Rattus norvegicus: one gene and its partners. The protein of the gene in region 4 purifies or fractionates together with the protein of the main gene of each other region. This does not show direct contact. Links are inferred from orthologs where the notes say so. Each region holds a gene or a part of one and is shown on either strand. Other genes may lie near its edges.

The links. The genes of interacting proteins can lie anywhere in the genome.
Region 1: the proteins of Llgl2 (region 4) and Pard6b purify together in Homo sapiens (affinity purification with mass spectrometry; 7 studies listed by BioGRID and IntAct, counting the BioPlex papers as one, with this or other methods). This does not show direct contact. The link is inferred for Rattus norvegicus from reciprocal best matches to the Homo sapiens genes LLGL2 and PARD6B.
Region 2: the proteins of Llgl2 (region 4) and Rad18 purify together in Homo sapiens (affinity purification with mass spectrometry; 3 studies listed by BioGRID and IntAct, counting the BioPlex papers as one, with this or other methods). This does not show direct contact. The link is inferred for Rattus norvegicus from reciprocal best matches to the Homo sapiens genes LLGL2 and RAD18.
Region 3: the proteins of Llgl2 (region 4) and Dcaf1 purify together in Homo sapiens (co-immunoprecipitation; 3 studies listed by BioGRID and IntAct, counting the BioPlex papers as one, with this or other methods). This does not show direct contact. The link is inferred for Rattus norvegicus from reciprocal best matches to the Homo sapiens genes LLGL2 and DCAF1.

What each region holds. Positions count from the first base shown.
Region 1 is NC_086021.1:177,226,224-177,229,327, reverse strand, and holds part of Pard6b (partitioning defective 6 homolog beta), read right to left. Parts: intron 1,588-3,104; coding exon 758-1,587; 3' UTR 1-757. UniProt on the Homo sapiens protein: Adapter protein involved in asymmetrical cell division and cell polarization processes. Probably involved in formation of epithelial tight junctions.
Region 2 is NC_086022.1:147,355,761-147,360,074, forward strand, and holds part of Rad18 (E3 ubiquitin-protein ligase RAD18), read right to left. Parts: intron 791-4,314; coding exon 606-790; intron 1-605. UniProt on the Homo sapiens protein: E3 ubiquitin-protein ligase involved in postreplication repair of UV-damaged DNA. Postreplication repair functions in gap-filling of a daughter strand on replication of damaged DNA.
Region 3 is NC_086026.1:116,411,828-116,416,141, reverse strand, and holds part of Dcaf1 (DDB1- and CUL4-associated factor 1), read right to left. Parts: intron 3,486-4,314; coding exon 3,233-3,485; coding exon of another isoform or gene 3,105-3,232; exon of another isoform or gene 2,894-3,104; intron 1,318-2,893; coding exon of another isoform or gene 1,286-1,317; exon of another isoform or gene 212-1,285; intron 1-211. UniProt on the Homo sapiens protein: Acts both as a substrate recognition component of E3 ubiquitin-protein ligase complexes and as an atypical serine/threonine-protein kinase, playing key roles in various processes such as cell cycle, telomerase regulation and histone modification.
Region 4 is NC_086028.1:101,577,433-101,581,746, reverse strand, and holds part of Llgl2 (LLGL scribble cell polarity complex component 2), read right to left. Parts: intron 3,870-4,314; coding exon 3,715-3,869; intron 2,675-3,714; coding exon 2,457-2,674; intron 2,380-2,456; coding exon 2,312-2,379; intron 2,229-2,311; coding exon 2,075-2,228; intron 1,986-2,074; coding exon 1,881-1,985; intron 1,595-1,880; coding exon 1,302-1,594; intron 1,201-1,301; coding exon 1,050-1,200; intron 1-1,049. UniProt on the Homo sapiens protein: Part of a complex with GPSM2/LGN, PRKCI/aPKC and PARD6B/Par-6, which may ensure the correct organization and orientation of bipolar spindles for normal cell division.

The DNA.
Region 1 (3,104 bases), on a different chromosome or scaffold from region 4:
CACCACCCCTGTGAGTGGTGAACTGATGCGGGCTTCCCCAAATGCAGGCAGCACCCTAGAATCCCCAGGAAGAAAACAAAGTGCACATCTGTACCATGTGTAAGTCTCTTAACCCGGGGGCCTTTTTATCCAAAACGATCCACACTGCCTGGTACACTGGAAGAGTGTGGGAGCCAGCTAACTGCACTGCATCTCACACTCACTCACTCACACACATGTACACACTCACACTCACTCACACCCTGGACAGGGGGCAAAGGACTATGACACCCTGCAACTGTAAAGCCCCAGGGTGAGGACAACAGGTGACTCCAGGGCCAGGGAGGGGGCCCCTAAACATGGCCGGCTAACGGCTTAGAAAACAGGAAGACAGAACAAAAACTGCACATGGAAAAAATAAATTGTCACAGTTAACAGAGGAGCATTTTAAAGTCAGAAAACATCAACGCTGGGAATCTAAGAACTGAGGTTCCCAGTGGCTAACAGACAATCAGACTTCACAGAGGGCAAAGAGCGGGCCCTGCAGGCAGGCAGACACTGGCCACCGCAGCCCGGCTCCAGGCAGGTCTCAGTCAGAGAAGCAGCACCCGCTCTGTGGCCTGCTCACACTCACCGGCATGGTAGACGCCCCACCCCATCCCAGCCGCACTAAGGCTGTCGTGGAGTATCACGGCCCGGAGGTCCACAGCATCAGTCTTGTGCTACACTCACACACCGTCCCTCACATCCTCACTCAGAGGACAGACAGCTTGGCGACTCACAACGTTATGATTGTTCCGTCTTCCTCTAAGAGTTTCTGATCCGGAGCTCGGCTTTCCGACTCGGTGTCCAGGCTGCTGGGGACAGCCACCAGGCTCGTGTCCTGGAGAGGGGAGAACCCATTCTGCCCCGACTCGAAGCTGAGCTCGATCTGCGTCAGGGACTCCAGGCTCAGGGCCTCGGGGGTGGCCTTCGGGATCTGCTGCGGCTCACCACTGCCTTCAATGATAATGTCGTCCTCATCGCTGTCCTGGTCCTCTGGCTCCAAGCTGGCCCCTGCCTGCTGTGGGTAGCCCAGGAGGCTGTTGTCGGTGGACTGGCCGGAGCTGCCGGAAGTCCGACTGTTACGCACCACGTTGTTCCTCTGGTTGGCCGGCCGCACCGTGATGATGAGGTTACGGCTGTTGGCTATCATCATGTCAGTCACCTGGTCCAGGCTCTTGCCTGACACTTCTATACCATTTACTTCTAGAACTTCGTCATTGACAGCCAGCAGGCCCGTGCTCTGGGCCAGGCCCCCGGGGACGAGCCTGGAGATGAAGATCCCGGGAACTTTCTCTAAACCATGCGGCGTCACACGGACGCTGGAGCCGTCCCGGATGTAGAAGCCCAGGGGCTTCTCTGTGCCGTACTTGTACAGACGGACCCTGCGGTGCGTCTCCGGGAGGATGTCCACATCGATGATGGATGACACGGGCCGGAAGTCCTGCGGCATGCTGATGACGATGTGCGGCTTCTTCCTGTGGTTGTCGGGGCGCAGCACGTTGCTCAGCACGTTCTTCTTCCTGATCAGGGTGTCCGTGCCAAAGGCGCTGTAGTCGGCTTCTTCTGCTTGGAGAAAACAAACGCAGGACGGTTACAGACCCACCAAGAAACATGCCTGCCCGCAGCTGACCCGGCAGACAGCGCCTAAGATCAGCCTCCGGGTGTCAGCTACTCAGCCAGAGCAGAGAGCTGCACGGGTGACTGCCATACCCTCAGAGGACACTAGAGGGCGCTATCACACATCGCAAACATCACTAACTACTGAACTACTTAAGTGAGCGGTGAAATTCTGACAGTCAAGTACGGCCCACACACCTGCTGTCATCCCCACGCTTAGGGGCCAAAGACAGAAGGCAGGAGAGCTCAAGTTCAAAACCAAAATCTAAAACCCAAAAGACCCAGAACATCAAAATAACCTGTGGTGGACCTTACAGGCTCAATTTCCTCCTCCTGCTCTTCTCAGGTGAAGAGGCTCACACTGCCAGGCCAGCTTCCGTCACCACACCTGGCTACAACTTCATCTCTTCTCCCCTTCCTGTCCCCCGGGTGTTACCTGGTACTCAAGGCAATCCTCCTCCTGCCTCAGTCTCTGAAAAGCTGGGGTTACAGGATTTACCTCTAATGTTAGCACGTCATCAAGCTTGGGCTGGCAAGAGGGCTCAGTGGTAAAGGAGCTTGCCGCCAAGCCTGATGCCGTGAGTTTGGTTTCCAGGACCCACATGGTGGAAAAAGAATCAACTCTCAGAAGTTGTTCTCTGACCTCTATGTGCACACTGTTGGCAAATATGTACACATATTTAGTACTCACACCTGCAAACCCATCTCTTGTGCAGCGGAGGCAGGAAGATCAGGAGTTCAAGGGCAGCCTCATCTACATACTGAGTTCAACACCAGCCTCAATGACAGGAGATCCCCTCAGAATTTTTAAATCTTTTAAAAATATATTTGCACGTATGGGAGTTTTGCCTGTGTGTGTGTGTGTGTGTGTATGTACCACATGTGTGCCTGGTGTCCTCAGAGATCAGAAATGGGCGTTGGGTCCCCTGGAACTGGAGTCACACCTTGTAAGCCATGTGCGGGATAGAACCTGGGTTCTCCGGAGGAGCGGCCAGTGCTCTTCCCAGCTGAGCCACTTCTCCAGCCAGAATAAAAATGATTTGACATCAGCTACTTGAAAATAAACTCTCTCTTAGCAGGGTGATGGAGCACGCCTTTAATCCCAGCATTCAGAGGCAGGGCAGAACCTCTGAGTTTGAGGCCAGCCTGCTCTACATGTAGAGTGAGCCCCAGGACAGTCTCGGCTACACGGGGAAACCCTATTTTGAAGGGGAAAGAAAACAAACTTGAGATACAGTCTCACACTGAAGACTAGGTTGGCCATGCTGGAGCAATCCTCCTGCCTCTGCCTTTACTGAGCTAAGATTAGTGTTATCCCAACCTGCCCGCTTAAAACAGCTCCTTTAAATGCAGGTTTTCCTGCATTTAACTAGAACACTTCCGCTTTGCATATTTATCACATCCAAAATAAGGCGGGGGAGGGGAACTCAGGAGAGAAAGATGGCTGGGTGTGGCAGTGGGGG
Region 2 (4,314 bases), on a different chromosome or scaffold from region 4:
CATCATCACTTTATGAAAATTTACACCATGTATTTTTCGGTTTTTAGATCATTCTTCTTGGTTTTAAACAAAGCAATTCTAAATGTTCTTACCTATAAAGAACACCAAAATGCATGGTTGAGGGAAGACTATGTGAAGAGACTGACATTTTAATGAATCAGCGCCAACTAAGGACAGCTGTCTATGTATAATAACCACAATGGAAACATCCACTGAGTTCTCACAGCTTGCTAAGGCACATACAGCATGTAGGACTGTAGTCCTCACTCTATGGATGATAAGACTGAAGTACAGATGTGACTTGTTCACAGTTACTCAGAATAAAGTAGGAGTGTAGGACTCTAGATCACTCTTTACCACCTTGCGATCTCTGGAAAGATACTCAAAACTGCCAACAATGATTCCTCTGAGAAGAGACCTGGGGCTATGAGACAGCCTGAGAGGAAGACTGCCTTAGCACAGTGTTCTACAGGCAGCTCCTAAAATTCATTTGCATATCTTATCTACTACCACAAAGGTACTTATTAAAATTCTTTCTGTGGTTTAAAAATCTCTGAGCTACATACTTACTTTTTCCAGAGATGAGCACAGGTGTATTACTTTACCTGATTTAGGATGCAAAGCATCGCACTGGGCATTATACATGTGCACAAATTCCTGATGCCTTTTAATAAGCTGCTGTTTGTTTCCTTGAATAGATAAGCCATGCTGTTTCAGCTTTTTCTTTAAATCACGATCAGAGAGCAAGTTATACACAGTTTTGGGCAATGGCTTCCTTTTGTGAGCAGAACTAAGACAAACAAACAAGAAAGACCTTGTGAATTATCAAATATTCTCAGATAAAACAGTAATTTACCTTCCTAACACCTGACTGACTAGAAAAATATTTGAGACATTAAGATAAAAAAAAAGGGGGATGGGAAAATAGTTTAGTCAATGAAGTGCTTGCTTCATAAGCATTAGTTTGGTCTCTAGCATCCATATAAAAAGTTGAGGAGATAGAAACAGAGGCATCCTTAGAGCTTGCTAGCTAGCTTGCCTAACTGACCAAGGCCAGGCAGGCCCCGATGAGAGACTCTGCCTCAAAGAACAAGATAGAGCAGACTCCTGATTATGATACCCAGGGTTGACCTCTGGCTCACACACATGCTAACATATACATGTACCCACACATGAGCATGCATACCCACACCACACAAAGGTAGATAGATGAGTAGGGTGTCAGCATAAGCATTCCGACTAGAGGTCGGCCCTAAGGGCAATTAGATAATAATAAGCAGTTTTCAAAGTGGTCTTCACAACTGCAATCATTTCAAAATTACAACAGCAAATTAATTAGTAAGATCTTAAGACTAGGAGTGTTTAAAAGAAAAAGATTCTTTAAAAAATAAGCAAAGAGAGTTTACAAAAGGCTGTGCTTCTCAAATTTTAGAGGACCTCAGAACTACCAGGAGAGACTGTTTGAAATGACGATGCTCGGTCACTGTCCCACAGCATCCATCTACATGGTACAGTCCTAAAGGTGGAAACTGAGAGTCTTTACTTTCCAGTTTCCCAAGGTGAATCTGATGCAGTGGTCCAAAGGTCATACTGAGAGCACTATTATAGTCATGTATAGACACAACAGTTCTACTCACACGAGAATCATTTCCTGACTAAATTATCTCTTTTATGCTCCATCAGGAAAGTTTGAAAGCCAGAAATCACTTTAGTAATTGTAAGAGGACTGCAACTTCAAAAGAGTGTATTTTTCCAAAATTGTTCTTATAATGGTATCCAACTGGACTCCACAAGATTGATGAAATTATGGTAAAATAAAATCACAGTAGGTAGCAACAACTGAATCATTTTACAGTGTTTATGACAAGCACCAAGGAAGGAGTGACTCATTAAGTCTCTAACTAAAACATTTATTTTATCAAGGACAGACTATTACATTTACAACTATGAAATTCTGATAAATATCTACAGTGTTGTTCACTGGCCTTCACAATGAAAACCCCACCAGATGTCGATCAGCTCTATCAAGAATTTGAGAAACTAAAGCCAGAGAAACATTTCCCCAAGAATGACATGACACTGTTCGTTGCTATGTTGACTCAGTGAAGCTGAGTATCACAAGTCAGGGGTCTCAGAACCAGGACATCAATAGAAAAGAGCTCTGCTCTGAACCAAACGACAACTCCACACAGGATGGGGTCTGGGTTATCAGCCATACTCAGCAATGATCTTTGGTGCTGTAAAGCCAATTTAGGAATTGTAAAACACAACCGACACCAGCAGCTGTCTGTCTCAGGTCTAAGATCTCTCTCTCAGCAGTCTACTGAGAGTGATGCGGTATGGGCTAGCTCTAAGTTGCACTGGAGACCCACTGGCAAGGCTCTCTGTGCAGCCAGATTTGGAACGCCACTGGACGGAGCTAGAAGCATTAGAGAATACGGTAGAGCCTTCTAGAAAGAGAACAATCCAAACAAGACCATCAGTACAAATTTCTTACTCTTCAGGGAGAAAATACTCAGCTCTGCTGCGTCCAACTCATTTTCTGGGGTGAAACACAAGGGGGAAAGCAGTGGATGAGATCACGGCTTAAAGTCATCCTGGGATATCTCCTTGGATTACCCAAATTCCCTCTAACTAAGTAACAAAATTACAACAGCAAATTAATTAGTAAGATCTTAAGACTAGGAGTGTCTAGTCCTATTCCCGTCAACAAGCTGTGGATATCGGAAGGCAGTCCTCGGGGGCACAGTGCTGCCCAGGCTTGGGGTCAACGAGAGCCTGTGCCATGAGGTAACAGCGCATCGCCACTTCAGCCTTTCTAAGTTACAGCAGTACAGCCTGCCCCATGAACCTGCGTTCACTCCAAACTGACTCAGAAAAACTGAGTGGCGCCTTTTTAGTTTTAATAAGTAAAACAGTAAGATAGTCCTGCCTTCTGAGAGAATGCTTTTCGGAGAATATTCCTCAAAACAGATGAACATAAAGAGTTGATCCACTCTCCAGTCACTAAAGTCTTTAGCCCCCTTGACTTTTCCACAGCTCTCTGAATTCTCACTGACTGTCTCCAACTTTACCCCACTTCACTCCCTGTGCTTACCACTGTCCTGTTACTGCCTGATAATGCAGAAGATTGAGGTCTATACCCTGCTTTTAAAAATAAAATCTTCCTTTGACCTTGCTGCCCATGCTTCCTCCCAACTACATCTACCATTGCCAAGCTCAAACCTGACCCTTCTGTTTCTTTATTGTCTCCACCAGTCCCTGCAATTCTCAAAGCCCTGCAATTACACTTCAATTAAAACATCACTCCTTGAACACACAAGTGGACTCTTCCAGATTTGGTGACTTTGGTACACAAAGGATGCAAAGCAGCACAGTAGTTTAGGCACAAATCCCAACCTCACACCTTCTTGGAATGTCATCTCCCGGTGCTTTGGAGAGAGGTCATTACATTCCACATATACCCTCCGGCAAGGAAGAGGAATTAGAAGCACAGGGCTGGAATGGCTCTGTGTAGCCAAAGATAACCTACATTTCAGTCATTTTTACTACCCTTGAGTCTCCTGTCTCAGCCTCCTGAATGCTAGGATTGCAGGCACATATCACTATACTTAGCTAAAAATATTTTTCTGCATCATTTTTACAGGGGATCATTAAGCTATTGAACAGCCTATTAAAAAATATTTTTTTAAAGGATTTACTTATTTTATGTATATGAATACACTGCAACTGTCTTCAGATACATCAGAAGAGGGCATTAGATCCCATTACAGATAGTTGTGAGCCACCATGTGGTTGCTGGGATTTGAACTCAAGACCTCTGGAAGAACAGTCAGTGCTCTTAACCACTGAGCCATCTCTCTCCAGCCCTCAAAAAATAATTTTTGAAAAAGCTCACTAGGATTCAATTCTTAGCACCATATACAGACAAATAGACAAATAAACAGTAGGACTGACTTAAATTAATACTTAAAACATTACATTTTTAATTGTTTAAAGATTTAAAATATTAAAACATCCTAAGAACCAATGAAAGATTTATATTCTTCAAATATAAGCTGTCCCTGCTCTCTTTGGCAAGGCCTCTCTCTGCATGACCATTTGAGAACTTTAAAAAGAAAGTTTAAAAGATAAATGAATTCTAAGTCTCTAGTTTCTCTAAGTCATAATGTAGCAGTGGGAAGCGCTAATCTGCTACTGACATATGGCAGAGGTGAGCTGAAGAAAGAAAAGGAGGATGGAGAGGAAACCAGCATTAAAGGAAAACTCACGCAGGAAGGAAAGCGGAGTGCAAGTCCCCAGGACAAAGGAGTC
Region 3 (4,314 bases), on a different chromosome or scaffold from region 4:
AAGAGCAAGGGCTCCCCAGAAGCAGGAGACAAAAAGACTCCGAATACAACATGCCTCTTTCAAGGACAGGTTTTTATCTTGAGCTCTACCCCTGCTGGACCCAGAGCCTGTGCAGTCACATGGCTGTGGTTTTTATGAATTTCACCATAAACCGTCTCCCTAAGTTCAGGAAGGTAGAGCTCTTCCAGAAGAATGAAGCTTGTAATGACAATACTTGTAAATGAGGGGTTTATTTAGTACAGTCTGCTCCACTGACGCTACGGGATAGCAACATCCACAATGGACAGCTCATAAAACAGGAAAGTACAATATAAGACGAGCTGCAGGTGACAGTTCTGCGTCTCTACCTCTGAGTCCAAGCAGAAATGTCCAAATGTCATGTATTTTATGTCAGTATTTATACCCAGGTTATATAGTAACAATAAAGTTTTCCAGATTACCTTTGCTTTGAGAGAAGAAATTTCAGAATATCAAAAGGAGGGTGTACTGTTACCAAATTAAAATTGAGAGGGTTTATATTCAAATTAGGAATGGAAACCCTGAGGCTGGGTGTGGTGGCACATGCCTGTAATTCTAGCACTCAGGAAGTGAAGACAGAAGGACTGGGGAACTTGAGGCCAACCTGGGCCATGCAGCAAACCATGTTAGGTGACCAGGGCAAATTCAGGATCTGAGATGATGACCATGCTGTCCCATATAATAAAGGAAATCCAAGCACTGCTGGCTGAGCCAGTGTCTGTCATGGCAGTGTCATTCATAGCTGAGGATGAAGCACATTAACCATGTGGTCACTGCTGCCCAGGAGCCCCTCAAAGAGACACTTAAATGTCAACTGTCTGCCCCAGTAAGACCCAATAAATGTAGGACTTAAAAGTTGTTTCATGACCAAAATGTACCATCCCCATGCAAGCAAGCTATGATCAGCTAAAGGATCTGGAAGGCAGTAGTCCCCAGCACTGGGATGTACTGGGATGTACAGCTCTACTATGAAAAGAGCCAAGTCCGAGACCTAGAAAAAGTTGGAGCACAGATCAGGCTCCCTGCTTGAGTAACTGTTCAACCCATCTCATGACCACGTGGGTGTCCCTGCTGCTCTGCCAAGACTCCTTCCATTTTGCTTTGTATTTAATGGGTACAGGCTTAGAAACATTACAGAATAAAAAAAGCCCAGATATCTTCGCTCCTCTGGTGATTAAATGCACATTAGCACATGTATGTCTCATTTACTGTTGGAAGTGTCATCTGGATTGTTGGGACACGGTCACTGTAGCGGCTCTGCTCTCATTCACTGCCCCATCATGGAATAAGTACACAGCCCTGTGAATGAAGGCAGTTGTCAGGGTTAGAGGAGGGGGAAGGAAGGTTTCTCTCTTTTATCTTTGATGGGGAAGTAGTTTTATTTTCATTGTCTAGAATGCCCCCTCCCCTTTTCATGGAGACCTCATTTTACTGGTTAAAAGCATGAACTCAGTTCTTCAGATTATTCTGTCTAGCCGCTTCTCGCTGTAAGTAGGCTTGAGAAAAAAGCCTAACCAAACAAAAATGGAACGCCCAATAACAGTACTGCACCCTTGTTGGTAATAGTGTAACTTTGTTACAGGGTCTGTCTTTCAAAAGCAGCTTTTGACTGGTCTGTCTTGTCTATCTGGAAACTTCTTTAAATCTTGGGTTTTGGTAAAATATCTTTAATTTCAAAACAAAAAAAGCATGTCAGACATGCAGGTGGCACCAGCTGCCTGCTGTTCACTAAATCTCTAAAGTGCACTGCTAACCCTTGAAGGGAGATAAAACTTGTCTCTAATACCTCACTATTAAAAATGTCCCTGGGTCATTATCTAGCCCTCAGAGGTCATGGCCTGGGGCTAATCCACAGAATCTCCTCAACCTTTGCATATGATACACTGCAGATAGGGGGATATAAGCAACCCCACTCCCACCAAGACCTTCCTCAGATACAGTAAGAGGAATTACTAATAAGTCTCTCCTAAGGCAATCAGCCGTCAGTCCCAGCTCTACAAGCACATAGGAGATATCTATCCCCCCCAAAAATGAACTTACATCAGGTAGAGGAACAGTATTGTGTTTACACAGTCCACATAATAGGAGTATCTATATTAAACACACTACCACCCACCTCTCTCTCATACCAGGAAACATGATCATAAACAGGAGACCATCTGATGCAGCAGCATGAAGTCTGCTTGACCTAGGCCACCATAACACAACTTTGTCATGATATAAAATGATATAAACCTGTGTTCTTACTGCTCAGCAACATATGCTACAGAGCATTTGGAAATGAGAAGCTAATATTTAATTAGATGTGAACAGCCCTCTTTGATAAGTGTCTGTTATTAATAGACAGAGTACCTACCGTGCCTGTGAGAATGCTTGGCGTATCAGCTAAATGAGACAGGAACCACTCCTCACTCAGGCAGGACAGCAATAAAAATACTCGCACCATGGCCAGCATAACTGCCAACTGTGGCACTCTTGTGGCTGGACAGAGACATGTCAGAGTGCAGTGCTGGTGTCTGCCCAGATCCTAAATTCATAAGCAATGGTAGGAATGGCTTCGGAAATCTGCCAGTGGAAAATTACTATACAAACTGGAGTTTGTTCTTTAGAGTTTAGAACAAGAAGTGGGATAGAGTGAAATGAACAAGACAACGTTGTTCCTTGGCCTTCAGGAAAGAGTACATCTGGCCAAAAGCAGCCAGGAAAGGCTCTCCCACAAAAGCCCTTCCTTAATTGCACTCGGCAGTCACAGAAGCAAAGCAGCCGATAACAGCTGCTTCAAGCTGACTTCGGCCCAACCCTCAGGTGCAGGCTTCCGCCTTCCTAAGCCCAATCCTTTAAAGCTCGAATTAAAAAACTGTAAGCTCACTACCTATTTTGTAAATCAGTTTTATTGTAACACAACTATAAACATCAATTTATGTTTGGCCTGTGACTGCCTTCTCATTACTACAGTGCAGCTGAGTGGCTGTGATAGGGACAAGACACAGGAAGCAAAAAAGCATTGTCTTTGCTCTGACAGAAAATTGTACAAGCCACCTGGCGTGGCTACGGAGTCTGACAGGAGAAGGGGGGTGACTGGTGCCTCAGCGCTTTTCCTCATGCGACCAGAGTGAAGAGTCAGCAAAACCCATTCTTCTGGAATGGGTTGGTACAAGAGGAGGGACCTGGCCCTGGGTGCCAAGGCTCATCCCAAACTCTGTCCTATACTTACTGTCCCCCAGGATCAGTTCCACTTCCTCATCTGCATCAGAGTCTTCATCTTCCCCCTCCTCTCCCTCCTCTAGAAGGTTTGCTAACTCCTCGTCAGAGGGAGAGAAGTCATTGTCTCCATCCTCTCCTGCATTCTCATTGTTGTCATCCTCCTCCAGTTCTGCTTCCAGCAACTGATCAGTATCTAATTCATCTAAATCATCAGTATCATCATCATCATCTTCATCATCCTCTTCCTCCTGTTCTTCCTCTTCCTGGTGAGAGAGCATGAAGTCCATTAGGAGAAACACAAAGCCTTAATCTGTATGGGCCATGTGGTGATTCCTACCCAAGGGGACAGAGGAATAAACTGTTAGCAGAACAGACTTGTCAGTGGGACAGGCACACATGTTCAAGACATTTGAAAACCTACTCTGGAAGGGTTTCTGATCGTCCACAAGCGAATATTGATTATAGAGCCCTTATGCATAGAAACAGAAATTCTGACTCACAGACATCTCAAGCCATTGATAACCTTGAAAGACCAGAGGGACTCTTCTGCTTCCCGCATCAACCAAAGTAAGTGAACTGAGTTCAGACACTGGACAAAGAGTCCTGAAACCCAAAGTCCCACATTCTAACAAAACAAAGGACACAGTGGCTGAGTTGCTAGCTCTTAAACCCCTCCAGTCATGTATTCCACCCTCCATAATAGGTGGATACCTAAAGAGCTGTTAAGCACTGAATAGGAACATTTCAGCAAGCCAGGCACACAAGACAGAGTAAATAGACATCTACCTTTCCTGTTACAAAGTGATGGATGGATGGATGGATGGATGGATGGATGGATGGATGGATGGATGGATGGATGGATGGGCGGGCAGACAGACAACAAATCCATCCATTCTTCTATTCTAAAGTAATTTACCAATGGTATGAAACCTACTAGAAAAACAGTGAAGCATTTCCTGTGGATTCTAAATCTGCCACTCACTTGAAAAATTAGTACCACAACGAAGAAAAAAATTAGAGCTATACTGTAACCCAGACCTATTAACGAGCAACTCTGCTTTGAGGTCTCTGGTGTGTGTGTTCTTTGGTGTT
Region 4 (4,314 bases):
GAACATTAACTCGATCAATGCTAATCCTTCTGGGGCAGGGCTGGCCATAACCATGCCAATCTGACTGTTTGGACCCAAGAGGACTTTGTCCAAGTAAGAGGTTCCCTGAGGAGAACTTGCTTGACTTCCCAGCATTTCATGGAGGAAAGGGACAGAAAAATAATAAGACAATTGTCTTGGCTAATTTTTTTTTTTTTTTTTTTTGGTTCTTTTTTTCGGAGCTGGGGACCGAACCCAGGGCCTTGCACTTCCTAGGTAAGCGCTCTACCACTGAGCTAAATCCCCAGCCCCTGTCTTGGCTAATTTTATGTCAACTTGACACAGGTGAGAGTCATCTGAGAGAAGGGAACCCCAGCTGAGAAAAAGCCTCCATAAGATTGATCTGTGAGCAAGCCCCTAGAGAATTTTCTTAATTAGTGATTCATATAGGAGGGCCCAGCCCACTGTAGGTGGCGCCATCCCCTAGGCAGGTGATCCTGGATTGTATAAGAAAGCAGACTGAGCAAGCCACCAGGAGCAGAACAGTAAGCAGCACCCCCTCCATGGCCTCTGCATGAGCTCCTGCCCTGTTTGGGTTCCTGTCTTGACCTCCTTTGATTATGTGGAAGTGGGAGTCAAACAAACCCTTTCCTCCCCAAGTTGCTTTGGCCATGCTGCTCATCACAGCAACAGTGACCCTGACTCAGACACCAGACTTTCTCCAATTCCGAGGGTTACTATTTTTTGTATTTATTTATTTGTGTGGTAGGGGGCAGCGCAAACCAAATAAACCCTCTGGCCCTCACTTGCTTTTGGTTACCGTGTTTCATCTTGGCAACAGTGACTCCGACTAAGACAGCACCTGCACATTTGCTTGGGACCTGCCTCTAACGTGTCACAGGTATGGCTTTCTGGATGCAGGAAGTTGAGCCACCAAGGCAGCGTGGCATATGTAAGGCCACTTGGTAAGTGGGTGGTGAACCTACTTGATCTGGATTCGGATCCTGAACTTACAGCCAAGGAGGGAGAGCTGTATGCCGCAGATGGCTGCTCTGAGCCTGGGGCCTCACCTCGCCCGTGGGGCCACCAGGCCGCCGTTTATGACTGGACGCCCTGCTGCGGCGCATCCGACGGAATGACTGACGTAGGGACTTCTTGAGGGACTTTACGCGGGACAGCGGGCCCTCCAAGGCCAGCTGGTCACTGGGGTGAAGTGTGCACCTTGAGGAGGTAGGAAGTCGTGTCAGGTCATCCGCGGGACAGCACCTCGTGGAGGAGGTCCTCACCCGGTCCCAGTCCCAAGCCCCGGATGCGGTGCTCACTTGACAAAGACCTGCCGCCGCTGCTGGTGATCGAAGAGGCCGAAACCGTGGCTGGTGCCAAAGGCCACAAGCCGCCACTCAGAGTGCAGGGCCAGGGAGGTGACCACAGCTGGGGGCTGGCACTGCACCAGTACAAAGGGCTGAAAGCCTGCCTCAAAGCGCACGGGCCCGGGGCGGGCGGCGAGGCGCTCGTGGCCCTTCCAGCGGTAGCCCTCCTGGTCCTGCAGCAGGTCAGCCTCCACCTGCTCCACGGCGTGCTCTGCCGCCTCATCGTTCAGCTCCAGCACCAGCACCTGAGGTGGGGGTGGCAGAGAGCTCAGCAGAGGCTACACGACACAGCCCAGCAGGGACTCAGGAGCCACGCTAACGCTCAAGGCCTCTGCCTGACTCCAGTCCAAATTCTCATTTCCGGAGGCAGAACAGTGGTCACTCTGGGGTCACTCGATACTGGAGTCCTGCATCTGCTGGGGAAAGCTGCAGGTGTGCGCCCAACGATGCCCTCGGACAGGGGCTCCTGTTCCCCCCTCACAAAGCCGCCCAACCACTCTGCCCTCCACGCCACCCTGCCCAGCCTGCTACCTGCCCTGCCGTGCCTGCCACAGCCAGGTAGCCACTGTATTTGCAGAGGAAAATCTTCTGGATGCCCAGCCGTGGATCATCACTGTAGGGATCAAAGGAGCCCACCTGCCGAGGCAAGGGGATGCCCGTGAGTGGCCACCGGGCCATCCTAGCTTGCCTCCCTGCACCCCTGGCTCCCAGGCCCCTGGCCTCACCTTGCGGAGTGGGGGCCACTCGTCCTCACCCTGGGCGCTGAGGTTCTCGCTGAGGTCTGTGTCTGTAAGGAACACCCTCACGGTACTGAGTTTGTACAGCAGCCGTAAACAGACACCCGAGGCGTCCCAGAACCGCACTGTGCCATCCTCGTGCCTGTGGGCAGAGCCTGGTGAGGGCTATGTCAGCCAGGGTGCCTGGGGTCTTGAATGCACAACCCAGCCACTAAAGTCACCTACCCTGTGAGCAGCAGGTCCCTCTGCGGTGGAGGCGGGGCCAGGCTGGTACCACCATCTATGGGCCACTCCTAGAAAAAGAGATCAGGAAGTCCAAGAGAACCTGGGCCCAAGACAGGAGTGGGCTCGGGGTGAGGGCCGGCCCTACCATGGTGGAGAAGTGCGAGTTCTGGCGGCTGCCGGCAGCGATGATTCGTTCCCACAGCTTCAGGGGGATGTTGGAGACATGATGGGAGCAGGTAATGGCTGAACAGTGCAGGGAAGCCAGGTAGGGCAGCTGGACTGGCGGCCAGCCGGGTGTCTGCAGGTCAATCACCACCAGTTCCTCCTCGGCAAGCACCACCAGGGCGTAGGGGTCATCAAAGGCTGGAGAACAGGCAAACGGTCAGGCTAGAAAGAGGCAGGCAGCCAGCCCCGTGTGGCCTGTAGACAGAGCTCCAGGCAGGGAGCTGGGACCATCAATCTGTACAGCTTGTCCTGTGCTGCAAGCTGCAGGCCATGACCAAGGCCTCTCTGCGAGGCTCGGACACCAGTGCCCCTCGGAGCTGAACAAGAGGCCTGAGTTCAGTCAGATATGGGAGAAGCTACCGCCGCTGGGAAATTCTTCCTAATGTGTGGCCTTGGCCCTGATGTCAAGGGAGGGATGGTAAGTATTTTCTGTGCCACACAGCACTTTAGTTTGCCTTGGAGGCCTGAAGCATGGACAGGCAGCAAGCTAGAGAGTATGTCTGTGTCCCCACAGAGTGGCCTCCACCTGTGAACTGCTTAACAAGGAAGAGATGAGAGGAGGGATAGCGCTAGGTAGCTGGAGCAAGAAGAGGGGAGGAGAGGCTGAGAAAGAAGGAAAACACAGGCCTAGGGTCTCCCTGAGAGTGGGAAGCTCCGAAACAAGACTCAGAGCCAGGCGCGCCTGGAACATCGCACCTCTAACCACTGTGGACCTAGGCTCATGGTCATCAGTAGAGGAGGCATGGTCTCCCTCTCCTGCCCAGTTCAAAGGTGTCCCTGTTTCTACACCAAGACCCTTGCTGGTCTTGTCTGTTTTCTCATTTATGAAGCTGACCCATATAGCCACCTGCTACCCCATCCAGACTTCACATCTAAGCCAGGACCCTCTCGCCAAGCGGGACTGGCATAAATCCAGCGTCACAGATCTGTCCGAGTTGGGCCAAATCCCTTAAGGAGGGGTTGGGACAGGCAAGAGGCGTGGCCTGGAAATATGGCATTCCAGACTGGGTCTCCGCCTGGGAGAACTGCAGAGAGAGACAGAGGTTCCCAGGTGTCATTGGCCTTACAAAGAAAGATAATAAGGCCAAGGGACTGAAGGGTGACAGGTTTGGGAACATGTACCCAAAAGCCTTCATTTTTGCACCTGCCCAGCACCCCAACTTCCAACGCTCTCCTACCAGCCACAGGGTCAGCCTCCATGAGAACGGTGAAGTCGATGACACGGGAGGTGAAGTCAAAGGCTGTCTGCTGGCCATTGTGGACCACTGAGATGCAGTGGCGGTCCCCGTAGCTGGCCCGGGGCATACCGCCCTGGAAGATGGTGAAGGGCAACCTGTAGGCACAGGAGAAAGGTGGGCTGGGGCTTCTGGACAACTCTTAACAGTCACAAGCTGTGTTGGCATCTGAGACCTGATACAGAGACAAGTCTCAGCCTTTGAGGCAGGGTCTAGAGACTGCGGGATCCCAGAGCTTGAATGAGGCCAGACTCCCATTTCCTCCTGACTGCAGCACTGAGGTGGGACATCCAGGCTAGGAGCCTTGGGCTTCCATAGCCAACCCTGCCCTTGTACAGTGGCCTCCGAAACTGTCCCCACACCAGGCCTCACTACGTACATTTCCTTCTACAGTAATGAGGCTGAGGCTGTGGCCACAGAGTCCAGAACTCCAGTGGACAGCATCTCTCTGGGAAGGTTGAAGGAAGGGATGGGAAGGGATTTTGCAGAAACTGCTCACTGAGGGGGTCTAACAAATAACAAATTTGCCCCCCACCGGGACCA